Linked DNA regions of Kluyveromyces lactis. The protein of the gene in region 3 interacts with the protein of the main gene of each other region in a biochemical or structural test. Links are inferred from orthologs where the notes say so. Each region holds a gene or a part of one and is shown on either strand. Other genes may lie near its edges.

Region 1 (4,109 bases), on a different chromosome or scaffold from region 3:
TCAATTAATGTTATTTCGAACGACTCCATTTTGACTCTTGACAAGACTCTTGAACAGTTTCCGGGTCCGCTAATCAAGGGAAAATCAAAATCCAAAGATATTGCTAAGTGGCTAGATACTTATATTGAAGAGAAGAAACTAAAGGGTGCGAATGATACCTGTATTTTGCTTGAGCTCTTAAAACTGCGTTTGGATCCATCCTACAGTTTAAAAGCTGTGACAAATATAATTTACGATTCCAGTATATTGCTTCCTTATTTGTCTCAGCCGTTCATTCCAAAGGTTGCTGCCCCGAATGCTCACAAACTCGATGCCAATTCTTTGATTAGAGTTTTAACGTTATTGCAAACAGGCGCACATGACGATGCTTTAAATCTTTCTCTAGCTTTAAAAGATTATGCTATGGCATTACTATTGGGTAGTATCCTAGGAAAGGAAAAATGGTCGTCAGTTGTGGACCAGTATTTGACACAAGAATTTGAGCAAAGCAACGAACGAGACATCTCTTCTATTAATTTATTGGCTACAATTTTCCAGGTTTTCATTGGCAATTCTAAAAAGGTGATAGATTCTTTTAAACAAGATCCCACGAAACTAGAGTGGTCTCTAAATAACTGGAAGTTATTGATTGCATGTATTCTAAACAATTGTGAGGAGGTGCCTGCGAATGGAAAACTTTCCCCTATTGTGGTGGAATTTTTGCTTCAATTCGGAGAGCTTTTGGTCAGCAGAGGTCTTGTCATTGCTGGTTCCATCGCTTTTATCGTTGCCGATATTCCAATGTCCGAAGAGCCTTTGATTCCGTTTTCTTCTACAACATTCGAATACATTTGCTGCCCAAACTCATTTGAAAGTTTGATCTTATCGGAAATATACGAATTTACGTACGGTCAGAAAGATCCATCATTCTCCGGATTCACGTCATTGATACCGCAGAAGATAATTCATGCAGCTGGTTTAAGTGACTACGGTTTGAACAGTTCGTCAACAAAATACATGGATATGGCCCAAAGTATGCTAAAATCACTTCCTAAGAACTCAGAGACTACCTTGAAAACATTACGCTATATTGAAGATTTGAGTAATCAACTATCGTCTAGTAATGTAGGCTGGTTAGGGAAGCCAAAATTAAGCAGCGTATGGGGACAGCTTGACAAATCCTTCAACAAGTTTATCGGAGGTGACACAGACATTGATGAGTCAGAAACAGCAGCAATTGAAGACAAGGTCTTTGAGAAGTTTACACCAACTTCTTCGAGAAACCCATCCATGGCAGATTTATCACAAGCAGCATCCTATTTGACTCCTGCGTTGAATCGCTCACATATCAATCAGCTACAGTCCAATAACAGCTCGCTCATTAAATCAACTACGAAAATCCTACCGGCCTCATCATTACCTAGTAGAGAAACTCATTCTAAATACGGTCCACCACCACTACGTGATATGAAACCTCAGTCTAAAATTGGGGAGCTCTATGGCAGCCATTCTAATATAGAACCTTTGAACTCCACTGCATCTGCTCGTAACACTGTACATCCATCACACTTTGAAGAGCCTGATAACTATGTTAATCCCTCTGGTGCAACCTCTCTCGGACAAAAAGAACTGCCAAATTCCAACTCTACACCTGAACCTGTACTGCCACCTTTAGCTCAAGTATACCCTGGATATCAAATCCATCACGATTTATCAGATGGCAATTCTTCAGTCTCTTCTGGCCACAGACTCTATAGTAAGATGGGTGTGCCAAACCAAAATACTGCTTCATTCTGCGTTCCTTCCCCAATAGTCTCTCCACAATCAACGAAGCATCAATCATCTACTTCCAATAAGGCACTACCGTTAGAAAATCTATTCGATGATACAGTCACCTCGGGTTTAACCACTGAATCTACCCAAACTGGGAGTAATGCGCCACCTCGTTTCCATGAAAATGAACAACATTCGGTAGTTGATGACATTGTGGAAGAGATTGGGAATGAAATTGATGCAGAATTAGATGAATTACAGCACTCAGAGTTTTCAGACGATAACAATTTCGAGAGTACCGAACAAAATTCGATCTCTGGCGTTGAAGGGTCTGTTTCTCAGTTAAACGTCACCAATCAGTTACCTGTTGCAGAAAACTTGCAAGAAGAGGACAAAAATCAAGTAACCGATATTAATGTTCCCGTCACGCAAGCTCAACCGCTCAACTCTTTTTCCCCGGCCTCTTCTATTTCTTCTAAACCTTCTTCTTTGAAAAATATGAGTGTAGACAAAGCAGAACCTGCGAACCCTTACGCACCTAAGAATAGCTTCGGTGTTGCTCCACGCACTGCAAGAAAATCATACAATCCGTATTCACCTTCTTCTATTACGGAAAGTCATTCTATGGCATCCCTGCCTCAAACCTCAACTTCGCCTTATAACAATGATAATAATAGTGCTCCAGTTAATGAGACAGGTGGCCCAGAAGATCTTGCGATGTATGCGTATGGAAGCTATAAACTGTCCGGTGAAGATGCCAAACCGCAAACTATTGATTCTCCAAACGGACAGAAACAAGAAATTGAAAACAAAACGTCCTCACCACCTCTAAATTCTTTTGTTCCTTCTAATATTGGTCTCGGAGAAAATTTGATTTCTGTTAAATCTATTGGATTACCGGCACACTTGCAGAACGATTCACAAACATTGCCTTCTTCAAAAATCAAAGATCCTGTAATCAGACCGGTTCAAACCTCAAATTTCGTACCATTCATTGTCAGTGATACTAATACCGAAGAGTACTATGATGACTTGGTCGAAGACACAGAAGACGAAGATGAAGACGAACCTATTTCAGTAAAAAGGGAAATATCCGAAAGAAACTCGGAAAATCAAAACCAGAAAGTGAAAAATGATGAAGATGAAGATGAAGTTAAAACTGTGAGCGAGGATGAAGCCGGGAAACCTGATAAGAAGCAGAAGAACGAATCATCAGGAGGTTGGTTAGGCTGGTTTAAGAAGGATTCTAACGAGAAAAAACCTATTAAGGCCAAACTAGGACACGCGAATAACTTTTACTATGACGAAAACCTGAAAAGATGGGTTAATAAGGATGCTACTGAGGAAGAGAAATTGAAAGTGGCGACTCCACCTCCACCACCTCCTGTCGTAAAGCGTAAGATGTCAAAAACGCCTGAAATAAAACCCCGTCAAGGTTCAGTTGTGGGAGGTCCAGCGTTACGGACTGCACACGCAGTTATGCCCACCAATCCTTTGACCGGCAAACCGCTTGATCCTGTGAAAGACTTCTCCGATGATGCAGAGACAAAGTCGGAATCACCCGTATCTTCGAAACCACCTGTTTCGAATACTAATGTCAACTTATCTGGGTCAAAAGCAAACGGTCTAGATGATTTAATGGCATTGACTGGAGGCGTTAGCAGCGCATCGTCGACGAGAAGGAAAAAGAAATCGACTAGAGGTTACGTTAATGTTATGGAAAATTTATAACATCACTTTGTTAACTAGTTCTTCCGATAATTGAATTTCGAAATTGTTCTCAAGTGTATTGCATATAGCGTTAAATGAACCTAGTGTACTTCGACGTCTATGAATTTACTGAAAATAAATAAATATAGTCATTAATGATCATCTTTTACATTGGTATTTACAAGGTAGTATCGTAAAGCGAGGCCTTTTAATTACTAAGATATACTTTTATCAGTCTTTTTTAACAGGTGGTTGAACTCTGAACAAGTCTCCGTTAACTTTCATTCTTTCGATTACAATTTGGTTCGAAGTTTCGCTATCTTTTGGCAATTTCGCGTCTGGTGCACTCTCAAAAACAGAACCAGTTAATAGAATATCATTTGTGCTTGCATCGCAAAGGAAAGCGATATAGTCAATAACATCTCTGTCCAGTTTATCAGTTTTACTTTTCTTCTTGTCGAACTTAATTAACCTTTGTTTGGTATCAAACTTATAAATCAATTGAATTAATTCAACTGGACGACCGGGAATCATCATGGCTTGTGTGGAAACTAACTTTGGAACTTCATTGAATTTAATCAATTCCCAGTCCAAGGTAATGTTCGATGGGATTTGTTTGGCTCTCGCTGTCAAAGCCTCGTCAACCC
Region 2 (2,546 bases), on a different chromosome or scaffold from region 3:
GAGAAAAAGGCACGTTCCTTCATGCAAAAGGTTCTCACCATTTCGAATGCGAAGGATGAAAAGAAGAGATCCAAGAAAGCTGAAGAAAGGAAGGAAAGACTCAAGAAGCTTGCTAAGTTGGAGGAATCGAAGAAAGAAAAGGAGAAGCAACGTAAGAAGGACTTCTTCTCCAAAAACGGTAAAAAAAGACAATTCAACGACAATGACACAAGTGATGTTATGTCTTCCAAGAAAAGGAAATAAACTATGTATTTTAACCTATTTACATTGCATAATTTGAATGATAGAGTATAAAGTAATTGTTAAGAACCAAAATGAACTACTGTATTAGTTAAGAGTCGCATTTGGAGTTGATTCTGAGCTGGAGATTTTCTATGTTAATGCAATTCTAAGAGACCATGAGATTCTGAAACATAGCTAAGTATTTTATGCATATATGATTATAGTTATTCTTCTCCATGCTTATTAGGTGATATTTGCAGTTATTATATATCGTTAGTAGCGCTTGCTTAACTACTTAAATATATTCAGATAGCCACTTGAAGGCTTCAGAGTAACCAGACTTCATGACAACGGAACACATGAACAACTCGATAGGTCTTTGACCTTCAATTTTGGTATATCCAGTTGTGTTCATCAAACCCAATGCAGCTCTCAATTCAGTTTCAGAAACGGCACTTGGAGAGTCAATCTTGTTACCCAAGACAGCAAATGGAACGTTGTCCAATTCCTTGATTTGGAACAAAGCATCCAATTCAATACGTGCTTCGTTAAATCTCTCTGGGTCAGCAGCATCCACTAGGAACACAATACCATTAACTTCTGGGAAATAATCCTTCCACAATCTACGTGCTTGCAAATGTCCACCTAAATCAAAAGTGGTGAATTTGATATTACCGATCGCCAATTCTTCAGAAGTTGGGTGCCAAGTTGGTTGCAAAGTAGCTAATCTATCGTTCTTCAACATATGTAACAAGGTAGTCTTACCAGCATTGTCTAAACCTAAGAACAATAACTTACCATGCTTGTTCCATAATCCTAGGGATGATAGAATGTCCCTGAACCATCCAAATAAATCCCAGCCTGCCATCTTTTACTGTATTTTCCGTACAACAAATGAAGAGTCAATAAAGAATTAGTAGCTTAAAGTGCCGTAATTTTTAAGTCGAATTACTAACTAACAGTAACTAAATGAAGATCATAAACTTTGTTTTTAAAATATGCCTGCCTTTGTTCTTTTGAAAGACCAATCTGTTCATTTTCGTAAAACGGTCAAATGTTTCTTGATCTTCCTATTAATTGAAATCACTTGATACGATTGATATAAGATTACACATTACAACTATGTGAATATAACTTGGTATAAAAGAGCAATGCAGGATGTGAACGTGCGTTTATGAAAGAGCTTTGGAATCAGTTATTACGGAGGTGTATGGAAATTGCAACTTTTTAGATTTGCTTGTTGTTGTTTTTTCATTAGAAATATCAATTTGTGCTAAAAGTAACTGCTTCCTTTTATGCAAATACAGTTGATGCAAGAGTGCGCCGGAAATTACAATGGCGACCATCAGCTCAGGTTTATATGCTCATGTAGTGCGAGTACAGTTTTTATTGAAAGCTCAGTGATAAGAAGACCGTCTTGGGTGTCTTGTAGAATTAAAACTAAATTCAGTTCCAATTTAGAAAGAAGTTTCTTAGAGATACCACACACCTTACTAAAGTACGAATGGGAGTGTACATGATCTTCAAGTAACTTGGCAGCCAAACGGATGAATGCAATGAGCAAACGATGCGTCATGGATTCCGTGATCGGGTTTTCTAGATGAAATTTTCCACTTCCAGTGTCGAACTTTATGTCGCAATAGGTAACTAACAAGAAGGATGCTGTCAAATAGATAATTGGCGGGAATGAACATTTGGATTCGATTCTATCGAGATATTGGGATATGGAGAGAGTAGGAGCTGATTTCATCTGAAAGATTGCTCTAATATTGGAAGTTTCTTCGAGGTTCTCATGAGACCAATGATCTATCTCCATTTCTATGTCATCTTCGGTTTTTGACTTGGTCGCAGAGGGCTCATTATGCAAATTATCATTGTCATTAGAAGTGTCGCCACCGATATCACTATTTCTATTGTTATCATTATTATTTTGATTATTATTCTCATCATTAGTATTGTCATTATCATCATTGTTAATATTATCGCCATCGCTACTGGCATTATTATTGTTACTATTATTTTTATTTTTATTATTATTATTATTATTATTATTATTATTATTATTATTATCAGAATCATCATCATCAGCATTATCATCATTATTATCATTAACTTCGCCTTCATGATTTGTCATACCATTCTCAGCATTCTTACGCATATCAGAAGACAATAGGAGAGCGAGTTGCAGGAAATCATCGAGTATTTGTAAGGCTTCTCTGGATGTCATTTCTAAACCAAACACCTCATTATTGTTTAAATTTGTTTTCAGTAACGAATGTATAAGAAGTGTACTATCCCTTTGGTCATCTATTTTTTCCAGGGGG
Region 3 (4,091 bases):
GCCGTAGAATTGTCATTTCCAGTGAACCATAGTAAGTTTTCACCAGGAGTCAAAGAAATAATGCACTTGAATCCGTGGTTGTTAACGGGAAACGTTAAGGGAGGGAGCTGCGAATGATGCACTTGGACAGAATTGGCATTTGTATTTATATTTCCGTGGACAATAAGTGCGGGTGTATGAACCTCTTCTCCGTTCTTGATGTTGTAAAATTGGATTTGGGACATCACTTGATTTAATTAAGGGTATTCTATGGTGTACCAGTGGGAAAAAGAAGCAGATTTGAGTGTCAGTCACAGGTATTAGCTGAATTACCAGTGTAGAACCTTATGATATCGAATACTAGGAACAATGGATGGATTGCTCGTATTTAAAATCGTTTTACCTTCGAGACATCTTGTTTAAAGATCTGATCCAAAATCTACGCACATTGTAAATAAAATAAGCAGACCTCGAACTTTCATATCACGTGATATAGCAAGGTTTATATCTCTAAATATCCATCAACAAATAAAGCACTGCATAACCACAGGTAGGTTCGTTAAAGCCCGTACAGTGTCTGGAGGGAGTATCAGTGACCCACAATCTGCCCGAAAGTTTTATCTTCTACAATGACCACGTCGACATTAATTACTTAACTATGTGATTCTGAGAGAACACGAACTATGATGTTACCCGAATATTATTATTAAAATCTGACAGCTGTCAATATACAAATACGAACTGCAGCATACAATACACATATGTCAATGATCAAAGAAATACAATATATGTAGCTAACATCGACTGAGCAATTGGCTAATAAAGCAGCAACCATATACATACGCTGGAAAAAGCCTCTCAAACCGCGTCAGTTTATTTAGCAGTTATCTTGAAAGGAAACCAAATAAAAAAAAAATTTCAAAAATCCAAAAACCCAAATTTCGATTCTTCGACAATAACAAAACGGGCCGAAAATTATAAAAACAATACACACATTTGATATTCAATTGCCATCGATTGAGGCATCTACTCTTTTGGATCTTCAACTTGGTAGAGTCAATAACTGTGTCAGGATCTAGGCGACTTATCAGAAGTTTATAAAGGAGAAGGCTCTTTGCATTGTATTTTTTGCAGATAAAAGAGAAAGAGTTACAGACAATCGAGTGATACAGGAGATCAAATTATACTGAACCATGTCACACCATAAGAAGCGTGTTTATCCTCAGGCTCAGTACCAAATTGCAGAAGGGATTGCACAGCCAATTGTTGGTGGAGGTGTTCCTCCGCAAACTGTAGGTGCTGGACAGCCGCAATTTCTGACTCCTGCTCAACAACATTTGCATCAACAGATCGACCAAGCAAGTAACGGCATTGGTAATATGCAATTACACAACGTTCCTGTGGTTGATCCTACTGCATTCCAGCAAGCTGGAACCCCGGTGCAACAACCACCATACGGTGGGGCTCCTCAATATGGCCAGCCAATGAACAGTGGCTACGGCGCCGATAACATATCCGGTGTTCAGCAGCAGTATCAGCAGCCAATGCAACAGCCGTATGGGCAAACGTACGGACAACAGCAGCAGCAACCACAATATCAACAACCAGGAGTAGGAATGGCTGTGGGTAAACCAATGAATCAATTGTACCCAGTTGATTTGTTCCAAGAATTGCCTCCTCCAATCACTGACTTGTCTTTGCCTCCACCACCGTTGATGCTCCCTCCAGAGAAGATGATTGTTCCTAACGATACAGTTAACAATTGTTCTGACCATTTAAGGTGCACTTTGAACGCCGTTCCAAAAAACAATTCTTTACTGAAAAAATCGAAACTACCATTAGCTATGGTTATCAGACCATACACTAAGTTAACCGACTCTGAATGTCCAGTGCCAACTAGCGAAGACGGTGTTGTGGTTCGTTGTAGACGTTGTCGTGCCTACTTGAACCCCTTCGTACAAGTAATCGAGAATGGTTTACGTTGGAGATGTAACTTCTGTAACTTGGCGAACAACTTCCCTCAAGCAATTGATATGAATGGTAACCGTTACGAGAGACCCGAATTCAACCATTCTGTTGTGGATTTCGTTGCTCCTAAAGAATACGCTGTCAGACCACCACCACCATCCACTTACGCTTTCATTTTGGACGTTTCTCAGGCATCAATCAAGAATGGCTTGTTGGCTACTGCTGCAAGAACTCTCTTGGAAAGCTTGGATACCATTCCAAACCATGATGAGAGAACAAGAATCTCTATTATTTGTGTTGATCAATCTCTACATTACTTCCGTATTCCTTTGGACGAAGAAGGTGACAACATTAAGATGTACGACGTCGCTGACTTGGATGAACCATTCTTACCTTCTCCCACTGGCCTATTGGTTCCACTAATTGAGGCTAGAAGCAACATTGAAAAATTATTGACTAGCTTACCAGAAATTTTCCAACAAAATATTCAACCAAGATTTGCCTTGGCCTCTGCTCTAAAGTCTGCTTTGAACTTGATCAGAGCTCAGGGTGGTAAGATTATTGTTGTTGGTGCCACTTTGGCCAACGTCGGTGAAGGTACATTACATAAGAGAAATGAAAAGGCTGTTGCAAATACTTCCAAGGAAGCTTCCACTTTATTGAACACTGGTGACGCATTCTACAAATCTTTCCCTATCGAATGTAACAAATATCAAGTTACGGTGGATATGTTTATGGCTTCCGACGATTATGTCGATATCGCATCTATCTCTAACCTAGGCCGTTTCACTGGTGGCCAAACCCATTTCTACCCTGGTTTCAGTGCCTTAAACTTGATCGATGTTACAAAGTTCTCAAAAGAATTTTCAAAACACGTATCCATGGATCTATCTTTGGAAGCTGTTATGAGAGCTCGTGGTTCGTCAGGCTTGAAAATGACCGGATTTTACGGTCATTTCTTCAATAGATCTTCAGACTTGTGCGCTTTGGCTACGGTTCCAAGGGACCAATCATACGTTTTTGAAATTGGTATCGATGAACAATTAACAAAGGACTTTGTGTACATTCAAATTGCTTTATTATTGACATCCAATGCTGCCCAAAGAAGAATTAGAGTCATAACTATTGGTATTCCAACTACTGATAAGCTAACTGAAGTCTATGCTTCTGCAGATCAGTTGGCCATCACAGCATACTTCGCTCAAAAGGCTGTGGAAAGAGCTCCTTCTTCTGGCTTTGAAGACACTAGAGAATTTTTCAACAAATCTGTCCAAGAGGTTTTGGCTACATACAAGAAAGAAGTTTTGACTTCAAACACAGGTGGCGGAGCTCCATTAATGCTCTGTAGTAACCTAAGAATGTGGCCTCTATTGATGCATTCTCTAACTAAACATATGGCTTTCCGTTCTGGTATTGTTCCGGCTGATCACAGAGCTCAAGCATTAAATAATCTTGAAACGTTACCATTGCCATATTTGATTCAAAACATTTATCCAACAGTATACTCCTTACATGACATGCCTGACGAAGCTGGTCTTCCCGATGAAGAAACTGGTGAAATTGTACTACCGCAACCAATTAACTCCACCTCGTCTTTATTGGAAAGATACGGTCTGTATTTAATCGACACAGGATTGGACATGTTCTTATGGATTGGCGGTGATGCTGTCCCAGAGCTTGTTACAGACGTGTTTGGAACCCCGGACATTATGGAAATTCCAATTGGTAAAAATGAACTACCTCTATTAGACGCTACTGAGTTCAACCTAAGAGTGAGGAATGTTATTACAAAGATAAGAGAACACGATGATGTTATCTTCTACAAAACCTTGCACATTGTCAGAGGCGCCTCACCAAGTGAACCAATGAACCATCCTTCTGCCAGGGAAGTTGCTTCTCTAAGATTATGGACTGCATCTCAGTTGGTCGAAGATAAGGTCCAAAACAGCTGGAACTACAGAGAATTCTTACAAAACATGAAGACAAGAATCTCGAAGTAAGTTTAAAAGGTGCTTCCAAGTTGCGTACATACCATTTTTTATGTAGATATTGAAACCATGAAATAGCAAAATCTTACTTTGCACACAACCTTACACAAGTGATATGTATAACATAAGAATACATGTTTGTCATTACAAACTATC

Evidence for each region.
Region 1: the proteins of KLLA0_F03729g (region 3) and SEC16 form a complex in vitro, tested with the Saccharomyces cerevisiae proteins (2 studies listed by BioGRID). The link is inferred for Kluyveromyces lactis from reciprocal best matches to the Saccharomyces cerevisiae genes SEC24 and SEC16.
Region 2: the proteins of KLLA0_F03729g (region 3) and SAR1 form a complex in vitro, tested with the Saccharomyces cerevisiae proteins (3 studies listed by BioGRID). The link is inferred for Kluyveromyces lactis from reciprocal best matches to the Saccharomyces cerevisiae genes SEC24 and SAR1.

The regions. Positions count from the first base shown.
Region 1 is NC_006041.1:2,123,996-2,128,104, reverse strand, and holds the end of SEC16 (COPII coat assembly protein SEC16), read left to right. Parts: coding exon 1-3,483; downstream 3,484-4,109. Other genes in the region: MBA1 (Mba1p), read right to left, coding at 3,694-4,109. UniProt on the Saccharomyces cerevisiae protein: Involved in the initiation of assembly of the COPII coat required for the formation of transport vesicles from the endoplasmic reticulum (ER) and the selection of cargo molecules. Also involved in autophagy.
Region 2 is NC_006038.1:177,190-179,735, reverse strand, and holds SAR1 (Arf family GTPase SAR1), read right to left. Parts: upstream 1,091-2,546; coding exon 518-1,090; downstream 1-517. Other genes in the region: GTPase BMS1, read left to right, coding at 1-243; KLLA0_B02024g (uncharacterized protein), read right to left, coding at 1,568-2,546. UniProt on the Saccharomyces cerevisiae protein: Small GTPase component of the coat protein complex II (COPII) which promotes the formation of transport vesicles from the endoplasmic reticulum (ER).
Region 3 is NC_006042.1:351,572-355,662, reverse strand, and holds KLLA0_F03729g (uncharacterized protein), read left to right. Parts: upstream 1-1,172; coding exon 1,173-3,947; downstream 3,948-4,091. Other genes in the region: KLLA0_F03751g (putative metalloendopeptidase), read right to left, coding at 1-224. UniProt on the Saccharomyces cerevisiae protein: Component of the coat protein complex II (COPII) which promotes the formation of transport vesicles from the endoplasmic reticulum (ER).